Linked DNA regions of Elephas maximus indicus. The protein of the gene in region 1 interacts with the protein of each later gene in a biochemical or structural test. Links are inferred from orthologs where the notes say so. Each region holds a gene or a part of one and is shown in the gene's direction. Other genes may lie near its edges. The genes, in order: CHEK2, PPM1D, PPP2R5A and CDC25A.

The links.
Region 2: of the proteins of CHEK2 (region 1) and PPM1D, one has a biochemical effect on the other in vitro, tested with the Homo sapiens proteins (2 studies listed by BioGRID, with this or other methods). The link is inferred for Elephas maximus indicus from reciprocal best matches to the Homo sapiens genes CHEK2 and PPM1D.
Region 3: the proteins of CHEK2 (region 1) and PPP2R5A form a complex in vitro, tested with the Homo sapiens proteins (2 studies listed by BioGRID and IntAct, with this or other methods). The link is inferred for Elephas maximus indicus from reciprocal best matches to the Homo sapiens genes CHEK2 and PPP2R5A.
Region 4: of the proteins of CHEK2 (region 1) and CDC25A, one has a biochemical effect on the other in vitro, tested with the Homo sapiens proteins (5 studies listed by BioGRID, with this or other methods). The link is inferred for Elephas maximus indicus from reciprocal best matches to the Homo sapiens genes CHEK2 and CDC25A.

Annotation. Positions count from the first base shown.
Region 1 is NC_064840.1:27,874,158-27,882,172, forward strand, and holds the start of CHEK2 (serine/threonine-protein kinase Chk2), read left to right. Parts: upstream 1-5,009; 5' UTR 5,010-5,075; intron 5,076-7,331; 5' UTR 7,332-7,337; coding exon 7,338-7,722; intron 7,723-8,015. Other genes in the region: iron-sulfur cluster co-chaperone protein HscB, read right to left, coding at 1,656-1,797, 2,391-2,480, 3,201-3,297, 4,470-4,708. UniProt on the Homo sapiens protein: Serine/threonine-protein kinase which is required for checkpoint-mediated cell cycle arrest, activation of DNA repair and apoptosis in response to the presence of DNA double-strand breaks.
Region 2 is NC_064837.1:32,687,077-32,693,945, forward strand, and holds the start of PPM1D (protein phosphatase 1D), read left to right. Parts: upstream 1-3,856; 5' UTR 3,857-4,007; coding exon 4,008-4,485; intron 4,486-6,869. UniProt on the Homo sapiens protein: Involved in the negative regulation of p53 expression. Required for the relief of p53-dependent checkpoint mediated cell cycle arrest.
Region 3 is NC_064842.1:861,359-869,054, forward strand, and holds the start of PPP2R5A (serine/threonine-protein phosphatase 2A 56 kDa regulatory subunit alpha isoform), read left to right. Parts: upstream 1-4,688; 5' UTR 4,689-4,770; coding exon 4,771-4,942; intron 4,943-7,696. UniProt on the Homo sapiens protein: The B regulatory subunit might modulate substrate selectivity and catalytic activity, and might also direct the localization of the catalytic enzyme to a particular subcellular compartment.
Region 4 is NC_064838.1:52,522,460-52,530,456, reverse strand, and holds the start of CDC25A (M-phase inducer phosphatase 1), read left to right. Parts: upstream 1-4,983; 5' UTR 4,984-5,037; coding exon 5,038-5,207; intron 5,208-6,201; coding exon 6,202-6,275; intron 6,276-7,888; coding exon 7,889-7,931; intron 7,932-7,997. UniProt on the Homo sapiens protein: Tyrosine protein phosphatase which functions as a dosage-dependent inducer of mitotic progression. Directly dephosphorylates CDK1 and stimulates its kinase activity. Also dephosphorylates CDK2 in complex with cyclin-E, in vitro.

The DNA of each region.
Region 1 (8,015 bases):
GTTCTGTGTTATGTGCTTAGGATGCGAGGGAAGCAAAAAGCAGACACAATTTCTGCCTCTGCAGAACTTCCAGTGTAATGGGTAAAGCTGATATTGATCTAATAATCTCACACAGAACAGTAAAGTTTTAACTGTGATTATTCCTACAATGGTGGGGTACACATTGCCAAAAGGTGTTAATGGAGAGGTCAAGAATGGTTTCTCTGAGGAAAATATCCCCCAGATCTGAAAGAGGAGGAGTTAACTCGATGGGCTGAAGGAGAAGGTTTCAGACAGAAGCAATAGCACGTGCAAAGGCCCTGGGGTAGGAAGATGCCTGGTATAGATGAGGGATTGGAAGTGGCTGGTCTGGCTGGAGTGGAGGGGGCAAAGAGGAAGAAAGCAGAGGCCAGACCATGCAGGGCCTTTTAACCATGCTAAGGAGTTTGGTCTTTAACCTGAGAGCAGTAGGAAACTACCCCAAGTTTATAAGCAAAGCGAGGGGTTATATGATTAGATTTGAGTTTCAAAAAGATCACACAAGTGACAGTGTAGGAATATTATACATGGAGCTAGAAGATATAGACAGACCAGCCAGGGGCTACTGTAGGTGTGCAAGTAAGAGAGAATGATAGCTTGGAACAGGGTAGCGGCAGTGAAAATAGATGGGTAGATAGATTTGAGATGCATTAAAAAAGTCATCTCTGTAAGACTTGGAGATGGATGGTAAGGGAGAATAAAATTGTTAAGGATGGCTCCCCAGTGTTTAGACTTATAAAACTGGATGGTGCCATGTGCTTAGAGAAGAACCCTGGAAGAGCAACAGGTTGCTCTTTTTTTTTTTTCCCATTGAGGAAAGGGAGGCCACTCATGAATTCCATTTTGGACGTGTTAAATTGAAATATATAGAAGGCACAGGCCATGTCTTTCTTGTTCACTGCTATATCCTCAGTGTCAAGCACAGTGCTTGATACATAGTAGGCACTACGTAAACATTTGGGAAAGTTTGTAAGTGCATCCAGTCTGAGTGAGAACCCTGGAGTCTTTTCTACAGAATAAAGTAGAAAACGAAGCTATATGGGGTCTGAAGAACAGGGTCTCAATCTTTGCTTTGCTACATATCTGCTGTGTGACCTTGGGAAATTCCATGAAATTCTAAGACACATTTTCCCTGTCAGAGATAATCACAGTATCTAAATGACATCACGGGTGGGAAGGAACATTCCAATCTGCAAAATACTGTTGTTGTTGGGTGCCACAGAGTCGATTTCTACTCATAGTGATCCCATATGACAGAGTAGAACTGCTCCATAGAGTTTTCTAGGCTGTAGTCTTTATGGGAGCAGATTTCCAGGTCTTTCTCCTGTGGAGCGGTTGGGTGAGTTTGAACCACCAACCTTTTGCTTAGCAGCCGATAGTATTACATTCTTGATTTAAGGCTGCCTTTTATAGGGCCACTATGAGTCAGAATTGACTTGATGGCAGAGGGTTTGGTATTTTTTTTCCAGAGGGACGTTGCAAGTTTAACCTCCAGACAACATTGGTTTCTGTATGGTCAAGAAAAAAAATTCCCTGAATCATCATGATAACCAGTAATTTTCTCTCTATACTCGTCTTTCACTTAACCCTAGGTATATATCCATAACAAAGTGCCTTGGCACCGTTTCATCTTTTACCTGCGACAACGGATTCAATCTCATTGACAGCACCTTCATGTTGAGCTTCTGCGAGTTTTTCATTGATTTCCATTATTTCCACGAGGAATTGCTTGTCCATTTCATCTGTCCCTTCGGGAATCTCTATTCCACGGAGTTTTAGCTATTGAGGTATAAAGCAGACAAAATAAGTTCTGTTTAGGAAACTATGGCCAGAGTCCTGTAATTCCTATTCACACCTTAGAACATAATATCGCTCATGGGGAAAACTCGAGCTGTCCTAATAACGAAAGCGTTAAGAGTAGGTGCCAAAAGCCTGGGCCGAGACAGAGTGCTGGGACAGGATCCCTCTCTGTGCTCCTTGGACCTGTGTGACCCTGGGGAGTTACTCTTCTACTCAGAGGTTGAACTAAATGTTTGTAAAGATTCTATTAAGTTCTAAAATTTTCTGGAGTTTAAGACTTCTCCCAAAAGAAACCAAAAATTACCCTTCATTAAAAGTCATCATCAAATCTTTGAAATTTATAGAAAATGGTGTCAAAAAAAAAGAAAAGAAAAAAAAGCAACTGGGGCAAGTAACATTTGCAGAGAATACTCAGAGAAAATGATACTCGTGTAGTATCTTTGAGGCTAAATATTGGGTCTCTGGATCAGCTCAGGTCTCAAGCGCTTTTCTCTGATTAGAGGGGAGCAGGTGTCCCACAACACAATAAGCACCAGGCAGTCACGCATAAAAGAGTTGGGAAATCACCTTACAAGGTATAGTCCCCTGCTTAGGGGTGCCAGAAGGGTCTTATAGGCATCATTCACCAGGGTCGAATGCTTCACTGAGAAGTCCTTTTCAGTCTGTTAGTGGGAGATGAAGGCAGTCTTATTATCATCCAAATTAACCATCTTACATTCACAAACTGTTTTAAAAAGGCTGATGGGTTACTGGGCCATAAAAAGAAATGAAAGTCCTGATGCATGTCACAGCATGGATGAACCTTGAAAACATTATGCTGAGTGAAGCAAGTCAGTCATAAAAGGGCAAATACCGTATGATCTGACTTATATGAAAGAGGCAAATATAGTGGTTACTAGAGGTGGGAGGGAAGGGGAGAAAAGGGAGTTACTGCTTAGAGGGCACTGCGTTTATGTTAATTGTAGTGGAATAATTTGGAAAAGGATAGTGATAATGGTTGTAAAACATAAAGAATATAATCAGTGTTACTGAATTATACATGTAAAAACTGTTGAAGTGGCATATGTTTTATTATGTATATTTTTACCATAATTAAAAAAAAAAAAGGCTGATGGGTGGAGACCTCAGGAAGTAGCCAAAATAGAACTGGTGTCGGATGAGCTGTCTTAATTTTCAACTGATTGGTTTTAGTCTGCTGGGAAGTTAGATAAAAGCTGTGAGTGCATGACAGCTCCAAGGCCTGGCTGGCTGAGGTCAGGCTGCCATAGGGTAGAGCTGGTTGTCCGGCTTGTTCCGTGATAATTACATAACCACAAGGCCACTGCCACCCATCTAGTGTGTACATGTGTGTTTGGGATGATTGGGGGTAGCCAATAGACTACCTGAGACCTCTGGCTGAAGAAATCTGGATGAACGAGACGCTGTAGTTGCTGGTACCTATGCTGGAGCTTCATGGTGTCAACTCTGAAGGAACGGTTGCTGGAAGAAAACCAGTAGATGAAATTCATGGAACAAATAATTAAAGATTTGTCTTCTATAAGCCTGGTTCCTGCTCTCATGGGGGATGGTTTCAAATAGTGGTTGGTGCTATGAATGAAAACAGAACTGGGTCAAAGAGAGTGGTGAATGGAGTGGATGAAGAGATGACATTTGAGGGGAGACCTGAATTTGTGGAGGAGTATTCAAATATCAAAGGAAAGAGCCATCCAGTCAAAAGGAACCACAAGTGCAAAGGCCCTGGAGTGGGAACAAAATTGGCACACTGAAGAAATTAAAGGGTAGTGTCATTGCAGCCCATAATAAGTGCTCAGTGACCTGTGGGGGCAGATCCTGGAGTTGAGGGAAGGGGCAATGCTGAACTTCACCCAAACTTTCTCTCTCCTAGATCTCCCACTTTCCTTTAATCCAACTCATTTTAGCTATCAGTTCCTAGAGTCTGCCTTATCACCTAACCAGTCCATCTCCACCCACATTTCATCACCTCTCCAAGCTCAATTTCAGAGGAAAATGGGAAAAAACACCCATTTCTGGGACCCTCCACCTTCAATTCCCACTTTTCCTTTAAATCCTGCCCACAATACTAGTTTTTCTGTGCTTTTACTCCCTTAAAGATCCCTATTGGTGCACTGGCTAAAAGCTTGGCTGCTAACCCAAAGGTTGGTGGTTCAAGCCCACCGGCCTCTCTGTGGGAGAAAGATTTGCAGAACTGCCTTATGGGTCAGTTCTACTCTGTAAGATCACTATGATTCAAGATCCACTCCATGGCAAGTGTTTTTTTGGTTTTTACTCCCTTAACTTGGACTATACATTAGTATTCCTTTCTTTAAGAGTTTCAACCCAACTTTAACCTTTCTTACTCTGCTCCCCAGGTCTCCCTTGTCCTAGGTCCAGCCCTCAATTTCTCCTCTCAGGCTTCGCACCTCAAGTCCCCCCCTCAAGTCTCCATCCCTCATCTCTCCGGCCCTTCCCTCAGACCCCGCCCCTTAATTTTCTCTCCCTCAGGCCACTTCCCAACCTCCATTCTCCCAGGCTCCGCCCCCAACCATCTTTCAGGGCCCCTCTTCTCCAAGCCTGGTCGGCCCACCATTCTAGCTGACCAGTTCGTCACGTCTCGATGGTCTCGACCCCTTTCCCAAAACCGCCGCCCGTACCAATCCATGAGGCTGAAGTAATCTCGAGTGGGGTCGGGTGGCTGCAACGCGCGGCACTGCGGGCAGAAGAGTATGTCCTCCCCTGTGGGGCCCCCTGGGCTGCCGCCGCACTTCCAACATCGCGGGGAGTTGCTTCGGGCCTGCGAAGCAGCATTGCAGCTTAGTGGTCTCCTCCTGGGGCTCCATGCTGGCCTCAACCCCCACACCCGGAGCAAGGCCCCAGCTCTCCCGCCCCACATCTGGCCCACGGCCTATCTCGCCTGGGTCACCTGTGGGGGAAAGGGGAGTTAGCGAGCGACCTAACTAGTGCTGCTGATTGGCTGTGGGAACTGAGGGGGCGGGATCACCTTGGGGAGGGGGGGAACCTGGATTCTGTGTCCCGCTTTGAGATCTAAACTACAACTCCCAGCAGGCAATGAGGCTACACTTCCAAGGTCCCATCCGCTTCTCCTCATTGGCCCAGGGCGGCGGAGGGTGTTTTTGATTGGCTGAGGAAGGAGTTTGTATTACATCTTTAGCGCCACTCCGCTGGCTGCGGCTGCGGCTGCGGCGAGTGTGCGCGAGTCGGCTGCGGCGAGTGTGCGCGACTCCAGGTGGGCTCGCAGGGTGAGTCTTAGTGGGGAAACTTTTTTGGGTGTTTTAGGGGTTCGAATCCCGTCCTCAGGGTCTTATGCGAGCAGAATCTCTGGAGCTTCCGCTTTGCCGAATTTGAGCTCCCGGGGGGGGGGGGAGGCGAGTACGTGGGCGACTCTTCCTTCTTTGTAGATAAACTTGGAGGTGAAGTTTACATTCCCTCGTGACTTACAAGCTGCTACTGGCCTAGACCTAGAAGGTGGGAAGTTAAAAAGTTTATGCTCTTAAAAATCACAGCGAAGTTGCTTTGTAAGGAGTTCTATGAATGTTAATGATCACTGCCATGATTTAAATTCAATATCGTAAGTATTTTTGGCGAACCCACTTTAGCTGCTATGCGCTGCAGGAACAAGAAACCCACTGCCCTATGTGTGTGTGTGTAGCGGATGCCTTGCGAGTGGCCTTAAGTGTGAGGGATGGGGTGGCAGGGAATGGGCAGCCAGCACGAGACGTCTTTGAGACTCAGTTTCTTATATGAAAAAAGATTGTGTTGCATATGTGAGGCTTTTTTCTCGCTGTAGGATTCTTCGGGACTGGAAGTCTGTTCACAGTCATGGGTTTTGCTGTGGTTATTGTGGCCTTTCACACCCCACTCCGCATGGCCTGCTGATATAAGTAGCTCCCAGTTATCATGCATTACTGGGGTGGAGGGGGAGGTGGGGAGAGCAGAGGGCTAGCATTACATGCATCACTTCATTTAATCCTCACTATTTATTTGCTTTTTTCATATGAGTAAACTGAGACTCAGAGAGATTGGGACCTGCCCAGTGTCATGCAAAGATTTGAGGCAGGCCTCTGACTCCAAGGCTCTACACCTCTAGCAACTCCACCATACCTTCTCACTATTGCTGAGGCCGGGGTGGTCCCAGCTCTTTATTTTTGTCTGAGTGGGTGGACCCTTGTCCTAAGCAAATGATGGCTGCCACCTCTTGACACGCTCTTTCTTTCTCCACTTACCAAGGGCGGGGACTAGATGCAGACGAAGAAGTCTTGTTCAGAAAGCTACAGAAGGACCCAACCTGGCTGAGGCAGTTTTAGACCAGCAGGTTCTGGAGTGGCAGACTCAGCTCTGGCATCACCTTCCTGTTGTGTTTTAAGAAAAGCTCCTCAGGACCTTTGTATCTTGAAAGCTGTGTAAATGCAGTAACATTGTTTACAACATTCTCCTGAAGGATTAACCTGAATGTGGGGAAAGGAAATACTTCCATTAAAAAAAAAAAGTCAAATTGGATCAGGCTTGCAAGTTACTTTGATTTTACAGGAGGTTCTGTTGTCTGAGTATAACTATCCATCAAGTTAATTCTAAAGAAAGGGAGCCTCTGTTATGGTATCTGTGACTCAGAGAATGGTTCAGAATTCTGTCCAGAATGGAAGGCCTTTTGGGATGCTGAAAAGATGAACCCATAGTTACTTAGCATCAGAAGAGCTAGGTGGAGTTGTTTAGAGCAGTCTGGTTTGTGCTCTGTTTCTTTAAGTGGCCTGACCCAAGTTAGGTGCCAGGGGATCTGGAATGAACAAACTGGATATGGTCTCTGTCCTTCTGGAGTAGGCCTGGGTCAGGGTGAAGGAGAGACATCCGATGTGTTTTATGTCAATGACAACCCTAGCCATTGTATGGTTTCTCTTTGCTCAGCTTCTACCTTTGTCCACCTGACAGTTCCCCGCCTTCTTTCCCTCTCAAAATATATATGAAATTTAAGTGTAGTGTTAGTTGTATTAATGAATAGGGTTTAGGTTTCATTTCTAATTTTTAAAAATTGAGGGAATGTAAGCTTTTGAGCCTTTGACCCCATTCCCCCCAACTCAAAAACTATTGGTCTAAATTGTTAGCATTTTAACTTTTTAAAATAATTTGTCTTATTTTTGTTGTGGAGAATATACACAGTAGGACATACACCAATTCAACAGCTTCTACATTTACAAATCTACATTGATTACATTCTTTGAGTGGTGCAGCCATTTTCGTTCCTCCCACACTAACAAACTCATTGCCTCCTAAATTTCCTGTCTAACCTTTCAAGTTGCTATTGACAATTTGATCTCGTGTAGATAGATCTTAAAAGAGCATAGTGCTCACAGCAGACGTAGCATTTTAATTTTTGCAGAGCATGTGTATCCTGTCTTTTTTTTTTTTAATTTAAAACCATTGTAATTTGCCCACCTTTCACTCTTGAACTTTAAGTTTTGTTCCTTGAAACTTATCTTATTGGTGAACACTTGCTTTTTGAGGTCCTGATGTCTCGAGAGGCAGATATGGATTGTCAGCAGTCCCAAGACGGCACCTCCTCACAGTCTCAAGGCGCCACCTCCTCTCAGTCCGCCACCTCCTCTCAGCCCGCCTTCTCCTCCTCCTGGCAGTCGCACAGCAGCTCCTTGCAGTCCCCTGGCCTTTCCTCACAGCCCCACGGCTCTTCGCAGTCCCAGAACACATCTGGCTCCTCCTCTGGCACAGTACACACATCCAGTCAGTCCTCTCACTCCAGCTCCGGGACGCTGAGTTCCGTAGACACAGTGTCCACTCAGGAACTCTACTCTATTCCCGAGGACCAAGAACCAGAGGAGCCCATCCCGGCCCCCTGGGCTCGATTATGGGCCCTTCAGGATGGATTCTCCAATCTCGGTAAGCGTCTTTGTTATATGATGCAATGTTTCATTCAGAAAGACAACTACAGTAAGTTGTAGTAGAAGGCTCGAGTCGCTCCTGGAGTGATTCTGGAGTTTGATGGTGATGGAAGATGAAACTGAGGAAGCAGTGTTGGGTCGTACATTAGCTCTTAACCCCTTTTGGATTCCCTTTATTTATTCTTACAGCAGATACTTTTTGGGCATTTGTGCTGTGCTGTTGGGCTGAGGTTCTTGAACAGAGCTGTGGACTCTCCCCAGAAAACTGCAGTTTCATGCAAACTTGTAAAC
Region 2 (6,869 bases), on another chromosome or scaffold:
AATTTAATCTAGAGCTAAATGGAATCATTAATAACAACAGTAAGAGGTAAGGTGTGTTGAGTATTTGTTGTATGTAGACACTGTCCTAGACCTTTTACATGCACTACCTAGTTTTTTTGTTTTGTTTTGTTTTTGCCGGTGGGTGGGGATAGCCTTGATGGAGCAGTAGGTAAATGATACGGCTGCTAAACAAAATGCTAAACAAAAGTCGACAGGTCAAATCCACCAGCCACTCCTTGGAAACCCTATGGGGCAGTTCTCCTCTGTCCTTCCTGTAGGGTTGCTATGAGTTGGAATCAACTTGATGGCAATGAGGTTTGGTTTTTGTTTTTTTTACCTAGTTTTTTTTTTACAATATCTTCTGAGGTAGGTGCTAAGTTAAACAGCTAGAAAATGTAATAGATTTTTCTGTTAAAGCATATTCTAAGGGGAAACACCTCAGAATTTTTCTGATAAGCAAACATCCTAGGAAAAAAAAATAAGGATTAAATCAAAAGCAAACTATAAGTTATTATAAGTGTTTTTGCTATTTGCCCACTATTCATTCAAAATACAAACTTCTCTTTTAAAAGGTGATTTAACAGTTGACCTTTAAACATCAGATTTGGAGCCTCTTCTAAGTTCAGTCAAGTCCAACAGACTGGACAGAGGAAGAAAATGTGGGGGGAGAAATGTTGGTGCCTTCCAACTCAGCACAGAGGAGACAGTGAGTGTCCCAAGATAATCTGCTCCCACACTGCTCCGAAACCAAAACAATCTTCTTAGCACCCAAAAATAAATGCAATGTTTAAATTTTACTGTTTGTATCTTAAGGTTGGTCTCCTGTGAGTCTGTCTCAAATTCTGAAGGGCACATTGTTTGGGGCTTAAAACCTTCTCCAACCGCAAGGGTAGTAAACAGTCCTGCTGAGTAAAAGTAAGCCACACAATAATTACTTTAGGGAAAAAAATGCTTTTTAAAATCATTGAAACAAATAGATGCTATTACTTTTCAGCAAATGAGAAGAATGGGAATTTTTTGTCAAGATAAAGCAATAAATTCAAGACAGTCTCTTTAGAAAAAAGGCTAAGCTAAGTGTCTTAGTAGTGCTATCTAAAGAGAAGAGGTATGAATATTCTTTCCACATTAATGCCTCAGAAACTAGTTATCTGCAGAAAACATGACAGATTGGATTTTCATGGCTAATTAAGAACACATACAGGTTTGACACCTTTGGGACTCTGGCAGCAGTGATTCTAATTTTGTGTCTCCCACCAATTTATATTCATGCACAATGAACATGACAGTGGTAGTCAGATTAAATTGATTATTTTGTTAAGTCTCGAGTTGCAAAAACAACAAGGTCAGAGTAAAGGCAAGTCACAGAAGTTAATCTCTTGAGACACATTATCTCAAAGTTCTAAATACATAGCTTGGCTATAATAGCTGAACAATGGGAAAACTACTTAGTATATGTTACTGATATTTTCTAGCTATGGGAAGAAACAATAGCAAATTAATTAGATTATTTTTTTGCTTCTGAAATTAACTCCTACCTTTGAAGGTTTTGAACTCAATAATTAAGAGCAAAATATTACAAATGAACAAACCAGTGGGTAAGATAGTTAACCCTGAGATAGATACAAGGAAAAAATACTTTTAAAATCATTTAAAGCTCTACTTAGACACTTAGCCTTTTTTCCTAAAGAGATTCTCTTGAATTTATTGCTTTACCTTGATGAAAAATTCCCTTTTTTCTCATTTGCTGAAAAGTTACAGCATCTATTTGTTCAAATGATTTTCAAAACTTACTATCTAATAAAAGAGTGTCACTAACCAATGGATAAAAATTGGATCATTTTATAAAAGGTATTGGGAAACAAACCTATTTGAAAGAAATTCAGATTAGATTTTCAGTTCATGCCAAAATAATTCCAGATGACCCTGAATGTAAAAAAAAATTTAACCATAAAAATACTAAGTGAGCTGATGTCTCACCATCCTCACTTCTAAAGAGCATTCTGGTTGTATTTCTTCTAAGCCTGATTTGTTCATTCTTTTGGCGGTCCACAGTATATTCAGTATTCCTTGCCAACACTACAATTCGAATGCATCAATTCTTCTCTCTTCTTTTTTCATTGTCCAGCTTTTGCATGCATCTGAGGTGACTGAAAAGACGACCATGGCTTGGGTCATCAAGGTGACATCTTTGCTTTTTAAAACACCATATTATGGATGAAGGTCCTTTCAGACATTTGCTTCCAGAATAAGAAGGTTTTGTCCATATGAAATTTTGCTGGGGCAAATACCCTCCCTCTGCAATTAGTTTTATCTAAGGTTTCAACAAATTCTGCTGCTGCCTTCACATCAGCACTTGTAGACTCACCACTCTCATGTAATGCAGCGAAAAACATTGAAGTGCTTGACCCACTGAGTTAGCAGTAAACTCGATTGGAGTCTGGCCCTGCTTTTTCTTTAAGCATATCAAACAAGCTTTGTGCTTTAGCAATGACTGTCAGGTTGCAGAGGGATTCGCTTTTGTGTTTGGTCTGTAATCCATGTCATTAGTAATTTCTCCATATCTGATACTGGTCCCTCTTGCGTTTTTCTCAGCTTTGTAGCTTTCAGTGGAGCAGGGCCTTTAACAGCTTGGAGAATTTTTTGTTTTTGAGCATCATCCTGATTGTCAAGTGCCACATGCCTAAACCTGCTATGTCCCTTCTCCCATCTTTCTGAACTCTATTATAGCTTTATGGGACCCGGCCTTATGGCCCAGCAGACGTTATTCTGTGCATGACTGCAGTATCATTCCGTTTGAAAATCTTGATGGTGAAGTGGCCAAGAACTGAAAAAGTGAATTTAAAACAGATTCACTTCGAGAACGTTTGCTGTTGAGAACATACTAACCTGTCTACTCTGAAGCTTATTTTTAATCTATGAAAATCCATGCAGAGGTTTGAGTGCTTTGATTGGGACCTATTTAGTGAAGAGGGGAGATGGATAACCAAGTCGTCAGAGCGCTTGTAGCACTCGGATGGTATGAAGTTTTTGTACGCTATTTTTATGTTATCTGATACCACAGGAGTAAAATGTACCAGGGCTAGTAGGAAAAAGTACTATGTTTAACCAAAGCTGAAAAGGTGTTACTAATGGTTAGACTATAACCCTCCTAAGTCTCTGACATACCTAGTTAGTTATGTGAAATGAGATTGTGCAGCTGATGGTGGAATTTAACCCCAAGTGTTCTTAACAACAAACTGGATTGCCTCCCTCTTCAACTCCCAGTCGAATACATCCCACCCAAATCCAGCTCAAGGGTGCTTGCCACACTTTTTCCAGCCAGTTTGCAAACGAGTTTCCGAAGGTAGGTTTCCCGCCATTTCGCTGAGGAATGGAAGGTCTTTCCTCCTTAGATTCTGCTTTACACGTAGGAAGCCCGACCTTACACCAGTTTCCTCTTAAGGCAAGCAGCGGAATGCGAAGCGCGGTCAACAGCGTTACGATGCGGGGGGCTGAGCTGAAAAGCGACAGACCAAGTCGCCCCGTAACAGCTCAGCATCAGCGGAAAACCCGACCGGGGAAACGCGCGCAACTAGAGTAGAGTGAATGGGATTGCGCGCGGGCCCAGAGCCCGCGGTGGGAGGAGGGAGTGCAGCCGTTGCAAGGAGGAGCGAAGGTTGGGGGCGGAGGGCGGGTTCGCTCCAGCTCGATTCCGATTGGCCCGGCCCACAGCACCGAGTGACGGCAGCCCGGGAGAACGCCTGATTTGTGTGGTGGGCGCGGGCCGGCGGAGGAAGCGCATTGCGCAGGCGCAGTTGCTCGGCTCCTCTCGCCCTAGCGCTCCGGCCCAGCTCTCGCGGACAAGTCCCAACATCGCGCGCCCCCCCCCCCCCGCCTCCGGGACCGCCCCCTCCCCCTTCTCGGCGTCGTCGAAGATAAACAATAGTTGGCCGGCGAGTGCCGAGTGTGTCTCCCGCCGCCGGATTCCGCGGGCTGCGTGGGACCGGCAGGATCCCGGCCAGCCGGCCATGGCGGGGCTGTACTCGCTGGGAGTGAGCGTCTTCTCCGACCAGGGCGGGAGGAAGTACATGGAGGACGTTACTCAAATCGTTGTGGAGCCCGAGCCGACGGCCGAAGAAAAGCCCTCGCCGCGGCGGTCGCCGTCTCAGCCGTCGCCTCCGCAGCCGTCACCACCGCCGCCGGCTCTCCCTGGCAGCGAAGTCTCGGGGAAAGGCCCGGCAGTGGCAGCCCGAGAAGCCCGCGGTCCTCCCCCGGACGCCGGCGCTTCGCCGGATCCCAGCCGCTGCTGCCGCCGCCGTTCCTCCGTTGCATTTTTCGCAGTGTGCGACGGGCACGGCGGGCGGGAGGCGGCACAGTTTGCCCGGGAGCATTTGTGGAGTTTCATCAAGAAACAGAAGGGTTTCACCTCGTCCGAGCCGGCGAAGGTTTGCGCTGCCATCCGCAAAGGCTTCCTCGCCTGTCACCTCGCCATGTGGAAGAAACTGGGTAAGTTCCATGGTTTGTTGGGCGCCCGCCTCTTTTTCAGGCAGTTCAGGGCTTTTAGCAGCAGCCAGCATCGCGTGGGCACCCGGCACTTGGCACTCGGCACTCGAGAGCGCTTTCAAAGTGTGCATTTATAGAAGTGAAGACTCTTCTCGGTCGAATGGCGCTTTTCAAGGTGGAGATCTGGGCAAACAAATTAGCCTTGGAAGAGAGAGGATTGCTGTCTCCCTGCAACCGGCCCTCGCTTTATTTCCACTCTCCAAGGATGAATGGGAAGCCGTCTTTTCCCTAAACTGGTTCACTTTGATGGCAGCCAGCGAAAAGTGTAGAAACCTAGCGCCAGTTTTTGTCCGAAAGAGAAATCGAAGACACGCTGCTACCCGGGCTACGCGAAGGAAGCAGGAGATGGCAAAAATTAGTGTTTCCTTACAATCTGTCATTTTGCTCTTGAAGGACTTATCCCTCTCGGTTGCCGCCTACTGGTGATGTCAGTTCTCCAAAGTGACCCAGGGCGGCTGATAGTCGGGGTAAAGTGTAAGCTAATTTAGAAGGGCTGAAAGGTAACCAAACAATTGAAAGTCTTGGGGAAATACTCCGTTGCGGTGATTATAAAATGCTTTTAGGATTTTTATGCCTGTACTGCATATGAGAAAGAAAAGTGCGGAACTTGTTATCTCAAACTAGCTCCCTGTGAGAGGCGTGTGAAATTTATCTAGGCCTTTTTAAAAGTACAATTTTTATTTTCGGTAGTTGCTTTAGCTAATTTCTACCAGGTAGTTCTCTACAGTTCCTTGTTAAAAAGAATTTACAATGGAAGGGCTGACTCATTAAGGGGAGGGCAAGTGGGAGTATGGAGTAAGGTGTATATAAACTTATATGTGACAGTCTGACTTGATTTGTAAACATTCACTTGAAGCTCAATAAAAGTTAATAAAAAAAAGAATTTACTAGTTATAAGCGCCCATCAAAGTAGCAAGGAATTACTAATATGCTAAAACCCAAACCAAACCTTTTGCAGTCGATTCCGACTCATAGCCACCCTATAGGACAGAGTAGATCTGCCCCGTAGGAATTCCAAGGACAGGCTGATGGATTCGAACTGCCGACCTTTTGGTTAGTTGCTCAGCTCTTAACCGCTGCACCACCAGGGCCCCAAGAAGAAATAGGGACTTCGATTTCTAAAAACTTAGTGTAGGTTCTCCAAGAGATTGTAGTTCATTTAAAATTTTAGGTGTTTTCTAAAGCAGCCAATGTTCCTGTATCCAACGTATGTTTTCATACAGGACTGTAGTTGCTTATCCATTTCAGTAAATAAATGGCATGCATTTTTTTTTTTTGATAGAAAAAGAATACTCTTCTGACATTAAAACAGAAAACAAAACTCGTGTTTATGGTAGCATAATGTTTTATTTATTTCATGCAGAGAGGCAGAGAGAAAGAGTGTCAAAGATTTGTTAAATACAGAAAAACACCTGTGAAAAGGTATCATAGAGTTCTAGATGAGCTGCTTTCAAATCCTGTTTTCCATTTGCCTGGCTTTCTGCCAAGAATTATTTGATTGACTCAAAAACCATCCAGTGGGCTTGTTGCTTGAGGTGTTTCCCATCCAATCCCAGAGGCCCCTATTATGGATTTGTTTTGTTTTTGTGTAGGCAGGCTAGAGCTGAAAGCACTGCAGTATATTCTAGAAATACATCACATCGACTGCAGGGCGACTAGAAGTAGGCAGCAAGGCTACAAGATATAGAGGATGATTAGACACAAAGAATTATTTAGAGTTTTTATTTTGCAGTATACTTGGAGCAACATGAATTTGCCCAGTTTGAACTGTGAGGATTGAAAAAATACAAACACTTCCCTTAATTGATTTTTTTAAAAGAAGTTATGTAAACCCTGTTACTAAAATGAGTGTTTTTTAATAAAGTTGGGGCCATGATGATAAATGTATGTATGTTTTTTACATACATATGCTTTTTAAATCAAGCTTTCACCCCTATGATGCATGGTCTTAGAGCCTTAGACTCTAGCCACATGTTAAAGTCAGGCAGGGCCTCACATTGGTTTCTTCTGGGTTCGAACCCCTGCTGAGAACTTGTATTTCCATCCCAGATAATGCTGAATCAGAATCTACATTTTAACAAATCCCCAGGTGATTCTTGTGTCTAATAAATTTCGAGACCCACAGCTCTACTAGTGATTCTCAGAATAGGTCCCTAACCAGCAGTATTAGCATTGCCTGGGAACTTGTTAGAAATGCAAATTCTCAGCAGGGTTTCGAACCGGAACAAACCGGTATGACGTCCTGATTAAAGTTTGCTTTGTACCACAGCTAAACCTTGAACTCCATCCTCAAAATTTGAATAAACCAAATCCAATTTCTAACATGT
Region 3 (7,696 bases), on another chromosome or scaffold:
TCCCATCACCATTATTTCCTGGCACAGAGAACCAAAATGTGCTCTATTACGTTACTGAAATAACGTAGTACTTTCTCTCCTAAGGACAATACTCCAGTAATTTATGCTGAAATACAAAGCCCAATATGTGCAAGGACCAGAACGGCATCTGACGCAAGATTGTGCCATTCTCCAGTCCTAGCCCACCTGGAGTAAGATAGGAAATACGACCACTGCAATTCAATGTGAGAGACCAGGATCTAGCTCCTGAGGACAGGAAGAGGCCTTGGCCAGTCACAAGCTAGGGAAGCTGGACACTTTACGTCAGCCGTGCCTGATACTGGGGGGAGAGGTTTGGTTGGGAGACAGAGTCTTGCCTCCTTTATAAAGGCACCGCAGGAGAGGTTTTGTCACAGTTGAGTTTGGAAGGTTGTTAGGAATTAAGAACACAGGGTGAATGAGTGTGTGTGTGTGCATATGGTGTTCAAAGGGTCACTCAGCCATTTGTGAACAGCGAGGGCAATTTTGTTTCTGATCCTTGGCCCGGTGCCACAGCAGACATGGGGGCTTTCCTGCTGTCTTCTGTGCAGCCCGACTAGCCCTTGACACTGGACAATACAGAGACACATGGCAGGCAACATCTCTTGTGCCCATGTGTTTCCATTATAAATTTTTTTTTCCTTAGAGAGGAAAAAGAAGTTTGTTTAATTTCCTTCTTTGCTCCGGCCCGCTCCAGGCTGTCAGGCCAGTCTAGTCATCTTCTTTCCCCAAATTAATATACAACCTATCATCACCTCTTTTTAAAAATAAAGACCTAGCTACCCAGCTTCAATGACCTTAAAAACTCAGTTTCTGTTAATTCAACCTCAGATTCATCTTTATTTCCCTATTCCTTTCTCTGACACCCCTCCCCCACTCCACCAAAATGGCTCAGCTTCTGGACTTTTTGTTCAAGGCCCCCAACTCATTTGGTCACCCGATTCAAAACTTTGGCATTACTTGTAATTCTTCTCTTTGACTTTCCACCTACCTTTAATCAAGTATTTTCTTGCTTTTTTTTGTAAATTCTTAAAATTTTCAAGGCCATTTTTAGCTTAAACCATTTGCCATCAAAGAACGGGGATACAGAGTGGGGGCGAGGAGTTGGGGTATCATTTGGGATTTTTTTCAAAATGCATTTGTCTCACCCCAAGATGCTTCTTTCCCTTGGAGAGGTAGGAACGTATAGGAAGGTTCTGAAAAGGCTCCAAAGTTGATGCTGACACAGATTGCTTAGCACCACTCACTCAGGTGCTTATCACCTGGGCACCTGCAATCACCTCAACCAACCTCCTTGGCTCTCACTTCCCCTGCCCAGTCTTTTTAAAACACTACTTTCAACAAAACATCTTCCATTAAAGGTGTAGGTATGTATATATGTACGCTTATATAGGTGTATCTGTAGTCATATGTATATACATGCTTGTACTACACATGTATTCATATATGTAACAAAGCAGAGAGGCCATAGTCACAGATGCTTCCCAGACATAATCAAACACCTTAATGGGGTTGAAGTCTTAGGACCATACTCTCGTGAGACAACTTGGTCAACTGGCATAACGGTCCATGAAGTTTATGTTCTACATTCTAGTTTGGTAAGTACCACCTGGGGTCTTAAATGTTTGCGAGCAGCCATCTAAGATACAACTATTGGTCTCTACTTGTCCAGAGCAAAAAGAAGGAAACCAAAGATTCAAATAAGAAACTAGTCTACAGGCCCAGCTGCCTACACAAATTATGGCCTCATCTACCCTGAGACAGAAAGCCTAGATGGTGCCCAGCTACCACTACTGACCATTCTGACCAGGGATACAATAGATGGTCTGGGATAGAATGGGAGAAAATTGTAGAACAAAACTCAAATTCTTAAAAAAGGCCAGACTTACTGGACCACTAGAGGCTAGAGGAACCCCCGAGCCTATTGTCCTGTGATACTGCTTACACTTTGAACTGAAACACTCCTGGAGTGCATCTTTCAGCTAAATTACAGAGTGGCTCATAAAATAATATCACCTGTGAGTACTGTGCTCCATGGCGGGGGAGGAAAAAAAAAACCATCTATATGAGACCAAATGGTCAACATTTACCCTAAAGCAAAGATGAGAGGTTTGGGGGTCAGGAAAGCTAAATTAACGGCAACAGCTCTTGTGAGAGAGATATGGCAGTCTGCTTCCACGAAGATTTACAGCCTGGGTACCCAGTGGGGACCGACTCTCACAGCAGTGGGCTGTTTGGTCTCTCCTGGCTCTGCACCTTTATCCCAAGGCTTTGAACCAGTTGGTTCCAGTTCAAACCCCTGCTGAGAATTTGCATTTCCACTCCAGATGTACTGAGTCAGAATCTACATTTCAACAACATCCCCAAGTGAGTCTTTGGTGTAACAGAGAACCACCGCTCCTCCAGCGATTCTCAGGATTGGTCCTTAAGCCAGCACCACTGGCGTGACCCGGGGACTTGTTGGAAATGCAAATTCTCAGCAGGGACCCCAGCCGGAAGGAACCAGTTTACAGCCCTTCTTTACACATCCTTGTCCCGCTGTTTGTAATGATTTTCCCTTTGTTTCCCTAACTCTTCCTAGTTCAATTCTCGTATCTGTCCCTTTATTTTTTTAGGTGAAAGTTTACAGCTCCAGTTAACTTCTCATACAAACAATTACACACATTGTTTTGTGACACTAGCTGCAATCCCCACAATGGGACAGCAGAGTCCCCTTTCCACCCCGGCTTCCCGGTATTTTTTTTTTTACTAAGCCCATTATATAGGACGTACTGCACAAAAAACCTAAGACGGCCAATGCCTGTCCTTAAACTTATGAATCCAGAAGCAGCCTCCGAGGGAGGAATCCTAACCAGAGTGCGTCCAAGTCCCACAGCGCGCGGAGCACTGATGGCGAGTCTCCCCGCTCCGCTGGGGAAGACCCGGGGCGCCAAGCTGGGAACCAGGGGCTCCCCGGCAGCAGGAGCAGCCAGGCCGCCCGGCGGCCCCTCAACTACCGCCCGGCTACGAATTCACCCGGACGCTGCCACCGCACGGCGCCGGGCCGCCGAGGTCCGAGCCGCCGGACCGGGTCCCCGCGGGCTCCGCCGCCGCCGACCACAAAGTCCGCCGCCCGCCCTCCGGCTTCAGTGACGCCACACCCGGCCTTCCTCCTGCTTCGCGCCCTGAGCCGCAGGCGCCCAGTCGCTTCCGCTCCTCATTGGCCCGCCGAGCGGCGGGGGCGGGACCAGCACTCTATTTACCTCTGTAAAGGCCGCCGCACCACCCCTCGGGTGTTTACGGGCCGTCAAGGCAGCAGGACTAGCCCGCAGCTGCTGCGCAGGCGTGCAAACGTGCTCACTCCGGGGGGCACTTTCCCCAGTCCCCCGAGGATTCGTTACTTTGCTGTGACGCACTTGGCATCCCGCTCCCCGCCTTCACTTACGATTGGCTGTTGCTAAAGTCCGTCACACAACCACGCCCCTTCCTATGCCTATCCTGTCAGCTCGACGCTAAACAAGCCGTCCAGGAGGCCACGCCTCACCCCCTTCCTGCCGCTGAGCTCTGCGATTGGCTCAGGGAGCTGGCATGCTTTCCCGCCCCCTGTCTCTCCTCCCCGCGGGAGCCGACCTTCACGCGGCATCTGAGAGGCTGGCGGGACACCGCGAAAGTTGCCAATCAAACCCCTCCCCGCCCCCTCCCTCGGAGCCCCTCCCCCAAGCCGCGCGCCCCTGCGCGCGCACACGGACACACGCGCCCTTCCCTGTAGCAACCGCCGCTCAAGTTGTAGCGGTCGTTCGCCGGGCTCCTCCGTGGGCGGCACACGGGCGCCTGGGGGAGGGGCGGTCGCTCGCCGGGCTCCTCCGTGGGCGGCACACGGGCGCCTGGGGGAGGGGCGGCCGTCGCCGGGCTCCTCCGTGGGCGGCACACGGGCGCCTGAGGGGGGAGGGTCGCTCGCCGGGCTCCTCCGTGGGCGGCACACGGGCCCCTGGGGGAGGGGCGGCCGTCGCCGGGCTCCTCCGTGGGCGGCACACGGGCCCCTGGGGGAGGGGCGGCCGTCGCCGGGCTCCTCCGTGGGCGGCACACGGGCGCCTGGGGGAGGGGCGGTCGCTCGCCGGGCTCCTCCGTGGGCGGCACACGGGCGCCTGGGGGAGGGGCGGTCGCTCGCCGGGCTCCTCCGTGGGCGGCACACGGGCCCCTGAGGGAGGGGCGGCCGTCGCCGGGCTCCTCCGTGGGCGGCACACGGGCGCCTGAGGGAGGGGCGGCCGCTCGGCGCTCGGGGAACGAGTGCGCGCCGAGGGCCGGCGGCGGGTCAGCGCTTCGGGAGATGCGGGGCCGGCGCTGACAGGAAGAGCGGGCACGGCGGCGGCCGCTCCGAGGGAACCCGCGATGGCAGCGCCCCGGGAGGCGGCTCCGGGCTGGACGGGCGGCGCGGGCAGCGGCCACTGAAGTGCGACCCGGGCTGAGCGGACGAGGCGAGCGCCCGGCGTCCGCACCCCCGGCCCCGCCTCAGCTCTCCGAACTTGGGGCCCCTTCCCGCCCGGGCCCCGCGCCCGGAGTCCACAACTCGTTCCCCGCCGCCGGCCCGGAGTCCCCGGGACCGCGATGCGGCCGTGAGGCGGCTGAGGCGGCGGCGGCGGCGCGGAGGAGCTCGGCGGCCCCGGGAGCGGAGGGCGGCGCGGACGGCGAGGGCGCGGGCTCGGGCTCTGCACGCCCGCCGCCGCCGGATCCGGGCACGCAGCAGCCGGCCTGCCCCGCACCAGGGCCGCGGCGATGGCGTCGGCGGCGGGGGCTGCCGGCGCCGCCATCTCGGCCGCGGAGAAGGTGGACGGCTTCACCAGGAAATCGGTGCGCAAGGCGCAGCGGCAGAAGCGCTCGCAGGGCTCGTCGCAGTTCCGCAGCCAGGGCGGCCAGGCGGAGCTGCACCCCCTGCCCCAGCTCCGAGGTGAGCGCCGCGCGGGCTGCGGGGGGCTGTGGGGGGCCGGGCGGCCGCGGGGGGCTACGGGGGCTGGGGTCTGCGGCCCTGTTTCCGACGGCTGTGTCGGGCTGTGCTGCCTCTCCTGCTGTTTCCCTGGCCCCCCGTTTCCCGGGTTGGGGGAGGCAGGCAGGCCCCCCAGCAAACACTCCTCCTGCGCGCTGCCTCACCTGCGTTTGGGGTCGCACCTGCCCCTCCGTCGCCCAGGCTCGCAGTCACCAGCGCCGACCGCCGCTCTTAGCTAGTCGCTCAGCTGCACAGCCGCCTGCACCCACCTCTCCTATCTTCCCGCCCGCTGGGTGCCCCTAATGCACACCCGGGGAGAGCTAGCCACCTTTAGATTCAGTTATGAAGAGAAAGCCTGAAATCTGAGCATTGTAGGTTTTATTTACTGGGTTAGTAGGTGTAAAAGTGATCTCCAGCCCAAAGTATAATAGAAGGGGTGCAACCCCCTTCCCGTCCGAGAAGACATGTCCGGGGAGTGGGGGAGTGTGGAAGGTGCACACCTTCACCTGCCCGCCGTGGCCCCGGGCCTTGTAAGCTGGGCCGGAGGTCAGACCCCCGTCCTGGCTGCTGCCTGCGGGACAACTTGCCACCCCACTCGCTCGCTCTTGCCCCAGGGTCAGAGGATTTTAAATATGTTGCCTCCTGGTGTTCTCGTTTATTCTTTGTGAATTGCTTTCTTCATTTTATAATTTTAACACCTCTTCTTAAGAGATAGGCATCGCCGATGGAACAGATAGATGGTAATGCCTTGGACAGGTAAACGTTTCTTTTTCCAAGGCGGGGAAATGAAAGGCCCATACGAAAACATAATATTCAGCATAATTTTCTGTCCATTGAAAAAGCTGCAGCATCCCCTTCAAGGCCAGTTTGATTGTCTTTGGGCATGTGTATCCAGCCATAGTTTGGCAAGGAGTCTAAAGAAAACCCCAGATCGAATCATAGTTGGAACCCTTCAGAGACCCTTGGGGTGCTTCTAAATCAAAGACATTCTACAGACAAATCAAACTGGCTTTTGAGGTTTTACTTTAGATATGCGTAAGAGCTGCCATCAAATTCGTCATTTGATTGCTCTTTAGAACACAAAAGTGGTTAAAACTTAACACTTGGTAGTCAGTGGTAGGCCAAGTTGTCAAGAGTTTAATTCTTGAGTGGTGTCAGAGCTATAAAGGAGCCCTGGTGGCACGGTGGCTAAAACTCTTAGCTACCAACTGAAAGGTGGACAGTTTGAATCTACCAGCTGCTCCTTGGAAACTCAGTGGGATAGTTCTACTCTGTTCCTACAGGGTTACTGTGAGTTAGAATGAACTCAACAGTGATGGGTTTGGGGTTTTTTGTTTTGTTATTCATGGATTTTAAATTTTTAACTTAATTGAAATATCATAGTTATTTTTATTAATTTTATCATTAAATTGTCTATTTTTGCAGTTTGAAGACTTAGTGCTAGCATTTTTCTTTTATATTTAATAGCGTTTTTTAGTAAGATGTTGTGGTTCTTGTAAGTGCTGTGAAACCCTGGTGGTATAGTGGTTAAGAGCTATGGCTGCTAACCAAAAGGTCAGCAGTTCTAATCCACCAGGCGCTCTTTGGAAACTCTGTGGGGCAGTTCTACCCTGTCCTATAGGGTCGCTATGAGTCAAAATCAACAGGACGGCAACGGTTTAAGTCCTAGAGTTGCTAGCCAAACGGTGAGCAGTTTGAATCTACCTGGTGATCCTTGGAAACTCTGTGGGGCAGTTCTGCTGTCCATTGGAGTCGCAATGAGTCAGAATCAACTCCATGGTGACAGGTTTGGTTTGGTTTTGGTTTTAGTGTTGTGCTTGTTAATATTTTATCCACTTTATTTAGTAAGTTATTTTAATATTAAACGTGGTTGATTTCAGGCCAGGAGAATGCAGGTTTAATACATTTTACTTTTGGAAATCTGACAAAAACATGCAGGATTAGTAATCACCTAATTTATGTGACATACGGCTCAACAAGCTGAAGGTGCTATTGAGTTTTTTATTTATAGTATTTGATCACTATTACAAAGAGAAGAAAAGTAAATTGAAACTTTAATTTTAGATGTTTTACGTGAAAATATAGTATTCTCCATAAGAAAAGTTCTGCATTCTAAATAAATATATATTAAAGAAGACCCTTACTCACATTACGCACTAACAGGAAAAACTACTTTTATCTCAGATTCAAAAAATGTTTGAAAAGTGATTTAAAATTTTTTTTCGCTTCTCTTGGTAGTTTGGCAGTGTACTTGGCACCACAGCATTGTGTTTCTTGTCAGTAGCCCTTTTTTTCCATTTGTGGTCTTAACAGAAACCAGTGGAAAAAGCTCACTAGTAGGTGTACGGAAAGAGAATTTTTCTTTCTGCGCTGAAATACAGTCTTACTCTGGAGTGATTCAGATATCTGTGTGTATCCGAGATCTTTCAAGTGTTTATTTCAACCTGCTTATGTTACACTTTGTCCATGTGAGTCTAAAGTGGAAGGGTGCCAGCTAGTTTTCCTTAAAGCATTCTGTACTATGGGTAAGGATTAACAAAATAATCCAATCTTTCCTCTGTAACAAGTTCATTTCTGCAAAATCATTCCCTAAGTGGATTGCAGGATTTTCATGGTGAAAATGTTCAGAATAAATTATCTGTTTTGTTATTAAAAAAACCCAAAGCCCATTGTTGTCTAGTCGATTTCGACTCATAGTGGCCCTATAGGACAGAGTAG
Region 4 (7,997 bases), on another chromosome or scaffold:
CACAAACTCTTCCAAGGAGACACAAAAAATTGGCCTCAGTGGTGACCTCTGAAGAGGAATACAGGGTAGCTTGGGACAAGTGTGGCAGAGAGAATTTTTTACCCTAGGCCTTTTTAGTATCATTTAAATTCCTACCAAATGAATGGATTACCTACTCATTAAATAGCTAAATGAAAGTTAAAGCTCCCCAGAGGATTCGGATGGAGACTCAGAACCTGGAAAGCCCCAGTTCCAGGTGCTCCTCCTTGTCTCTACAATATCAAGGACAATGGTTGTCAGCCTCCTGCACCGCTCATTCCATCTTAGAAAGCCTAGTTCTGACCTTCCTTCTCAGTGCTCAGCTGAAGCCCTGTAGCCTCCAGGGAGGCCCAGGCTGTCTCCACAGCAGACAGATTGAGAGAGACATACCATTTGCCCTTGAGTCAACTCCACCTCATGGCGATCCCATCTGTGTCAAGGTAGAACTGTACTCCGTAGGGTTTTCAATGGGTGATTTTTTTGGAAGTAGACTACCAGGCCTTTCTTCAGAGGCACCTCTGGGTGGAACTGAACCGCCAACTTTTCTGTTAGCAGCCAAGCAAGTTAACTGTTTGCACCACCCGGGGACTCTGAGAGGAGAATGGGCCTGTGTAAAACATTGTACTGGAAAGGAATGTTTCCATTTCTATAGAAAATAAATCTTATAGATTGATTGGGAAAAAAGTCTAAAAAATTTCCAAACCACACATGTAATGTTTTGGGGTGTTTCTTTTTTTTTTTTTTGGTTTTGTTTTTAGCAATAGAAACTCCTTCAAACAAAATATACAAGGTACAGCAATATATAATGTAGATTTAAAAGCCAAGCTACTGTGGTAGCAGCTTGGCAACAGGAGGAGCCTAGACCCCCAATGGGGCCCTTCACTGCCTGAAAGACACAATTGTGGGCCATCACCCTCACTGTCCACAGGGAGAATCTGAGGCCTACTTTCCCCTCCACATCATCCCTGTCCAGTTCAAGCCACGACCATCTCATACTAGGCCTGTTGTTATTCCCTCCAAACTGGCCTCCCCAGCTGTACCCTAGCCCCTCTCTAATCTATCCTCTACAATGTAGCCAGGGCTATCTTTTTAAAATGTATGTGTAAGCCCTTCAGTCACTTCCCCTTACTTTTGGGATGAAGTCCAAATTCCAGAATGTGGCTCACAAACCCTGGTAAAGCCTGGTCGCTGCCCACCTCCCCAATCTCCTCTCTCTTCTTGGATCCTTCCAGCCTTAGGGTCTTTGCACAGGACTTGTTCCTCTGATCAGAACACTCTTCCTCCACCAAATAAGGACTTATCCTTCTGGTCACTTCCTCAGGAATTCCTTGATCTACAAGGCCAGATTAGATTCCCTTAAATGCTCTCAGAGCACTCATACTTTTTCTTTGTAACATGTATTCATTAACTCAACGTGTTCTGGGAGGTTCTCTTTAACTTGAGTTTGTAGAAGCAAATGTAAACATATGATAAGTGCTCTTCAGGGGTGGATGATATCCAGGGTGGGTATCAGTCAGAGTCCAAGGCTAGAACTTCCCTGGCAAGGGAAAGAAGGGTGGGTGTTAGCTAGGTGAAGGGGGAATGGGGGTAGAGATGGCACTCCTGGCAACCTCCAAGGAAACAATGACTTGTCTATTCGGGCCTAGAAAGTTGGTAGGCCCTCAGTAGAAGTCAAATGAATAACAATTGACTTGCCCCAAAGCAGAATCAGTCCTCCAGATTGACAGTGCAGAGCTCTTTCCTTCTAACACCACCCTGCGGGACTTCAGAAAGCATGCCTAAATTAATGGGGCAAAGGGGCAGTTCAATTACGCTTTTCCTTTCATAAATGAAGATAGCCCCCAAACATCATACAAATCACACTCAACTTTAGTCAACCTTTAAAAAGGAAAAAGATGGTGGCTTTGTGACATTACTGAATCCAAGCTTTTATTCCAATACTTGGACTTTCTGGGATAAATCCTTTGGAATGTTATCCCACTTGTGCCAGTCCCATTCAGGAAATGTCTGCCCAGTCAAGAAGGACCTTTCATTCCTCGATTTGATCTTGAAAAAATAGTGAACACACACAAAAAAGTTCAAAGTGTTGACAGTTGTTCCTTTAAAAGTGGTAGGAATACGGGTTTTTTTTTTCTAATTTTGTAATTATGTTGCATTGTTTGCCTAATACAAACATTTGAAAGCAGTTTTTTAAAGAACCATTTTCATACAGTGGTAGGCCCTGAGCAGGGAAGTGGTCATAATGTCCACCACGCAGTTAAAGTTGCCTGAAACAAACATGCATTCTAATAAGTAGAGTATGTTTACTCTAAAAATGCTGTTGAAAGACAAGTCCTCTTAAAGCCTGGTGGTTGTATCTATGCCCGTCTTATGAAACCATTCTAGGAGCCACCAGTGGTTGCAAGGGTTTAAAAAGAAATACAGTCACCTATTCAATTAGGATAATAATTCCCATCTCATAGAGCTGTTGAAAGGATTAAATGGATGCAGGTAAAGCAAACGGAACAGTGGCTGGCACATAATAAGCACTGTTTACGTGTTAGCTATTATTATTTTTACTACCGTTGCTATCCAGCAGCTCCCAATGGAGTAAGAAAGGGTGAAAAGGAAATATTCTAAGACAGTATATATGAAAAAAAAAAAAAGATTCCTACTCATAATGATTCTATAGTACAGAACAGAACTGCACCATAGGGTTTCCAAGGCTGTAAATCTTTACAGAAGCAGACTGCCACATCTTTCCCCACGCAGAGCCCTGACCAACTGCACCACTAGTGTTCCTAGACAGTATATAAACCCATTGCCATCAAATGGATTCAGATTTACAGCAGAATATCCCGTAGTCCTTAAGTTGATTCTGACTCACAGAGACCCTGTAGGACAGAGTAGCAGAACTGCCCCATAGGGTTTCCAAGGAGCGCCTGGTGGATTTGAACTACCATCCTTTCTGGTTAGCAGCCATAGCACTTATCCACTATGCCACCAGGGTTCCCTTCAGTATATAAAATAGTAAGGTCTAAAATGGAAGTGGAACCCTGGTGGCACAGCGCTTAACCATTAAGGCTGCTAACCAAAAGGTCAGCAGTTTGAATCCACCAGCTGCTTCTCGGAAAGCCTATGGGGCAGTTTTACTCTGTCCTATAGAGTCGCTGTGAGCCGGAATCAACAGCAATGGGTTTGGGTTTTTAAAATGCAGTTGAGCACAAAACTCTGAGGCCACATCCTAGAGTGACTGGTAACCTTCCAGATGGAGTTAATGCCTGCACCATCTTGGCAGTAAAGAGAGTTCCTAGTACCGGAGAGAGAGAATGTGGCCTGCTCTGAAGTCCCTCTATTAACTATAGTTCAGGAAGATTAGAGTGTATGCATGGTACGGGAAAGATAAGGAGCAGCAGGAATGGCAGAGGGGAGCCCCCGAGAAGGACTGAGTGCTCAGAATAGGCTGAAGAGAATCCCAAGAAGATGTCCTGGGAGAGGGAAAGGATGAGATCGATGCAGTAGAAAACATGGCTTGGAAGAGGGAGCGACTCTGGCAGCTGAGAGACCAGCTAAAAGGCTGCTGCAGTCGTACAGTAGGAAGATGATGAGGCCTACACCCGGGCAAGGGCAGCAGGCACAGGGAGAGGTAGGGGCCAGAATCTACAGGAGCACTGTGTGTGTAATAGAAATATACCTGCGAACCGCATAGATTTTAAATGTTCAAATAGCCACAGTGAAGAGAGGTGGAAGTAATTGTAACGCTGTGCTTTTAGCCCAACAAAAATGTTATCATTTCTCCCTGTGATCAATATTTTAAATTTATTGAACTATTTTACATTTTATTTTTCGTACTACGCCTCGGAATCCGAGGTGGATTTTTACACCGAAGGTGCATCTCGATTCGCGCATGAGGCATTGAGGAACTCAAGCCCCCTTTGGCCAGCGGCTGGTGGGCAGGGCAGCCCGCGGTGTCCGTGACGGGCCGCTGGCCGGGCTGGTTAGAGCTCCCTTGGGGTCAGGAGCCGGGGAGGATGCGGGCGGGCCCGCAGGCTGGCTGGGCGTCCTTCAACTTCTGTAACTTCGTCTGGGGCCGAACAGAAGAGCAGCCCATAGTGCTGCACGGCTAGAGAAAAGGCTGGGCCCTGCTGACTCGGACGAGTCCTCTCATCTCCACATTCTCTCACGCTGTGGGGCGCGGGACACGCGGGCGTGGCTCAACGCGGGTAGGAGGTCCCCCGAAGTACACGCGGAGTGGGAACTACGCTTCCCAGCATACAACGGGTCAAGAGGGGTCCTTTGGTCTCTGCCGGGCCTCGCAGGGCCTGCTGGGAGTTTTCATTGACCTCTGAGTCCCTCTCGTTTCCACCCGCCCCCGTCACCTCTGGGCCCCGCCCCCTCAAGAGCTGGTGACCTCGCAGAGTCCCGCGAGCGGCTCCCTTCTTCTCCTCTCATTGGTCCAGCCTGGCTGCCATTCGGGGGCGGGGAGGTAGCTTACGGATTGGCGGATTCCATTTGGCGCCAACTAGGAAAAGGGGGCGGGGCACCGGCGGCCCTTTAGTGAGCCACGAAAGGCCATCTCAGCCCCAACAGCCCGGGAGGGAGGTGTGGGTTTGCTTAGTGTTCTGCGTCCCCGGATTGGGCAAGGGTGAGAGAAGAACGAAGAGTGTGTGAGCCCGGGCCGTTGCCTCGCGGCCCTCTCCCGCCCTCCTTTTCTGATCCTCAGTGTTTGGATTTAATCTTCAGGTTGCCGGCTCCCGCCCGCCCGCCGGCCTCGCGGGGGGCGGGTCGGGCCCCCGTGCGTGTGGCTGGCGCCTGCCCGGCCCAGACACCCGCCCGTCCGCGCCGCTTGCCCGCGGCGGCCGCGTCCCTAAACCGCGGGGTCGTGTTTGTGTTTGACCCGCTGACACCGGCAGCTGGGCGCGCGGCCGAGGCCGGTGTCGGCGCGGCGGGGCGCGGCGGGGCGCGGCGGGGCGGGGCGGGGCGGGCGCGGCGGAGGCGGAGAAAGAAGGAGCGGGAGCCCTGGGGAGGCCGGGTGCCGCCATGGAACTGGGCCCGGAGCCCCCGCACCGCCGGCGCCTGCTCTTCGCCTGCAGCCCCCCTCCCGCGCCACCGGCCGTCGTAAAGGCGCTGTTCGGCGCGCCAGCCGCCGGGGGGCTGTCGCCTGTCACCAACCTGACGGTCACCATGGACCAGCTGCAGGGACTGGGCAGGTGAGGAGGAGGTCAGCGGTGGGGCTCCAGGCTGTCGGTCCTGGCGGTCCCCGGGGAGACTGGGCCGGGAAACCGGCTCGGGGAGAGGCGGACCTGCCCGCCTGGGTCTGCCGCTCGGGGGCGGCAGCGCCGGCCCCAGGGCCCGCCATGTGCACCCTTTTCTCGTGAGGAATGTTGGGCGGGAGAGGCCATTCGGACCCTCCAGGGCCGGACCCGGTGTGGGGTGGGGATGGCCCCTGCTCCCCACCTTCACCACCCCTTTGGGGTTACCCTGTACCCTCCTTCTGCCTCTTCCCTATCCCAGGGAGCCCTCTGGAACCTGTCCCCACGGGGAGAAAGCAGGGCCTCCTTAGCCCTTAGCTGAACCTCACAGGATCTTAATTTCCTGTGAGCTTTGTTCCTACCCAACAAAGGGACGTGGCATTTTCTTTCCTGGTGTTTGTACAAAATTATCGCAATCTCTCCTGGCCTCGTGCGCATTCCTGTTGCCCACTCGGTTCCTTTCCCAAAGCCAGGCTTTTTTACCCAACTTTCCATACCGGAAAGCTCCGGGACTTTTTCTTAGAGTAAAAAATGCATCGTACAGTGTTTCTAATGAGGCAGCTTTTCTCCCAGCCTTGGGCATCCCTTTTTCTAACTAAGCAAATGTCTTCTTCCTTTCTAAACCTCTGAAAGGCAGAAACACTGCCCTGGTCATCTTTAATCGTCTCTTCTAGCCCAGTGCCTAGAACACATGTTCCCATTTCAGGAAATATTTCAATACTGGTCATAATCATACCCTACAATGTGGCCCAGGAGTGTGCCCACTTTCTCTTTTCTCCTCTGCTTTTATCCTCAAGTGCAAACTGGGTGTTCAGGGTGGGAAAGTGGAGCCTGGTGTGGCCTAGAAGTAATGATGGTTCATGGCAGCCCAGCCCGGCCACTTGTTAAGCTTGTGGCCTGTCTCCTGCATGTAACCTTTTAATTGAGTCCTGGAAATTTCTCTTGGTTGTAGTGAGTATGAGCAGGCACTGGAGGTGAAGAACAGCAGTCTGCAGAGGATGGGCTCCTCCGAGTCAACTGATTCAGGTATTTTCTGTCTTCAGTTACGCATTGTGTGTCTGCTGTGTAGGGGACAACACTGGGAATTTACTGAAATATTCCTCTTCACTTGGGGACTTATTGGTGAGTGGTTGAGACAGGATATGGAGAATGCAAGGCATCGGGTGACAAACACCCTTAGGAACAGCAGGAAGAAACCCCTTGTAGCAGTTTATGGAGAGACAAAACAAGTTCAAGTGTCTGCAAGGAAGTGGTGTGTGCTGGGCCTTGAAGGATGAGTAACCCACTGCCCACTGCCGTCAAGTCGATTCCGACTCATAGCGACCCTGCAGGACAGAGTAGAACTGCCCCATGGAGTTTCCAAGGAGCACCTGGTGGATTTGAACTGCCAACCTCTTGGTTAGCAGCTATAGCGCTTAACCACTACACCACCAGGGTTTCCGAAGGATGAGTAGTAAAGTAAAATTCACCATACCGTTATAAGTGTAATTCAGGACGTCATCGGTTAAAATTTGGGGTCAAGTTATTGGAAGTATAATGAAAGTATTTGAGTAAGCTTGTGGAGGAAAACCGCCACTGTATTATTCTAAATCATAAATTTATGTTACTACAGGGTTTATCTTTGCACAGATAAGAGCATTTGGGCACAGATACATTAGGTGAAAGAACTGCAAGAACAAAAGTCTTAAAATACAGGCAGCTTCTTGAGAGCTAGATATAGGATTTTTATTTGTGGCAGTGTGGGAGGCCTTTCATGAGATGGGTACCTTACTTTGGTGCCATTTTGTTGAAGGCAGCAAATATTGGCCTTACATGTCACACGACTAGTAATTGAATTTTCAAAATCCCAAATTTTCCCACGTGATTTGCCAAGATAAAATATTTGAAATTGAAACTATCCCAGAAAACCCTGATACCTGTTCTTTCTGTGGTTGGAACTGACAGTTGGAAAGTTACCTGAGTTACCTCTGAACAACCAGGCAATCATGCCGTGAATCAGTTTAACCTTTTCCTCAAAATCTGTTTCAACTGATGGTAATTGGGATTCCTAGGTAATGCAAACGGCTAATGCACTAACCGAGAGGTTGGAAGTTAGAGTCTAGTGAGAGGCACCTTGGAAGAAAGGCCTGGTGACCTACTTCCAAAAAATCAGCCATTGAAAACCCTATGGAGCATAGTTCTACTTTGACGTACATGGGATCTCCATAGTTTGGGTTTTTTTGTTTTGTTTTGTTTTGGTAGTATTTGCAAGTAGGAGAGGGAATTGATAGATTATACTACAAAAATATTCAGACTTGCGCAAATAAGATGTTTTTGACAATCAGCAAACCACAGAAATCAAGTAGAGGTTTGACTTCAGTTCTGGCAAAGGTCTAAGCTATGAGTCTTTATTGGCTGACTTATACGTAAAGTTCTAATTTTATTTATTTTTAATGACAAAATGTATTTTGTTTATGATTTTCTGAGAGATTTTTAGACACTTGCAAAGCACAAAGAACTGAAAATATTTTAAATGAAAATCGACAGGCAAATGGAAATTCTGGTTGAAGGAATGAAGGCTGCTTTATAGACCAGCTGAACTACAGTGATTAATGGCGGCTAGAAACACTTTTTTTTTTTTTTTTTTCAATTTCCCACAGGCTTCTGTCTGGATTCTCCTGGGCCCTTGGACAGTAAAGAAAAGTATGTATTCACTGCTTTTAAATGTTTGTGCTTAGAAAAAGGTTTTGTTAATTCTATAATGACATT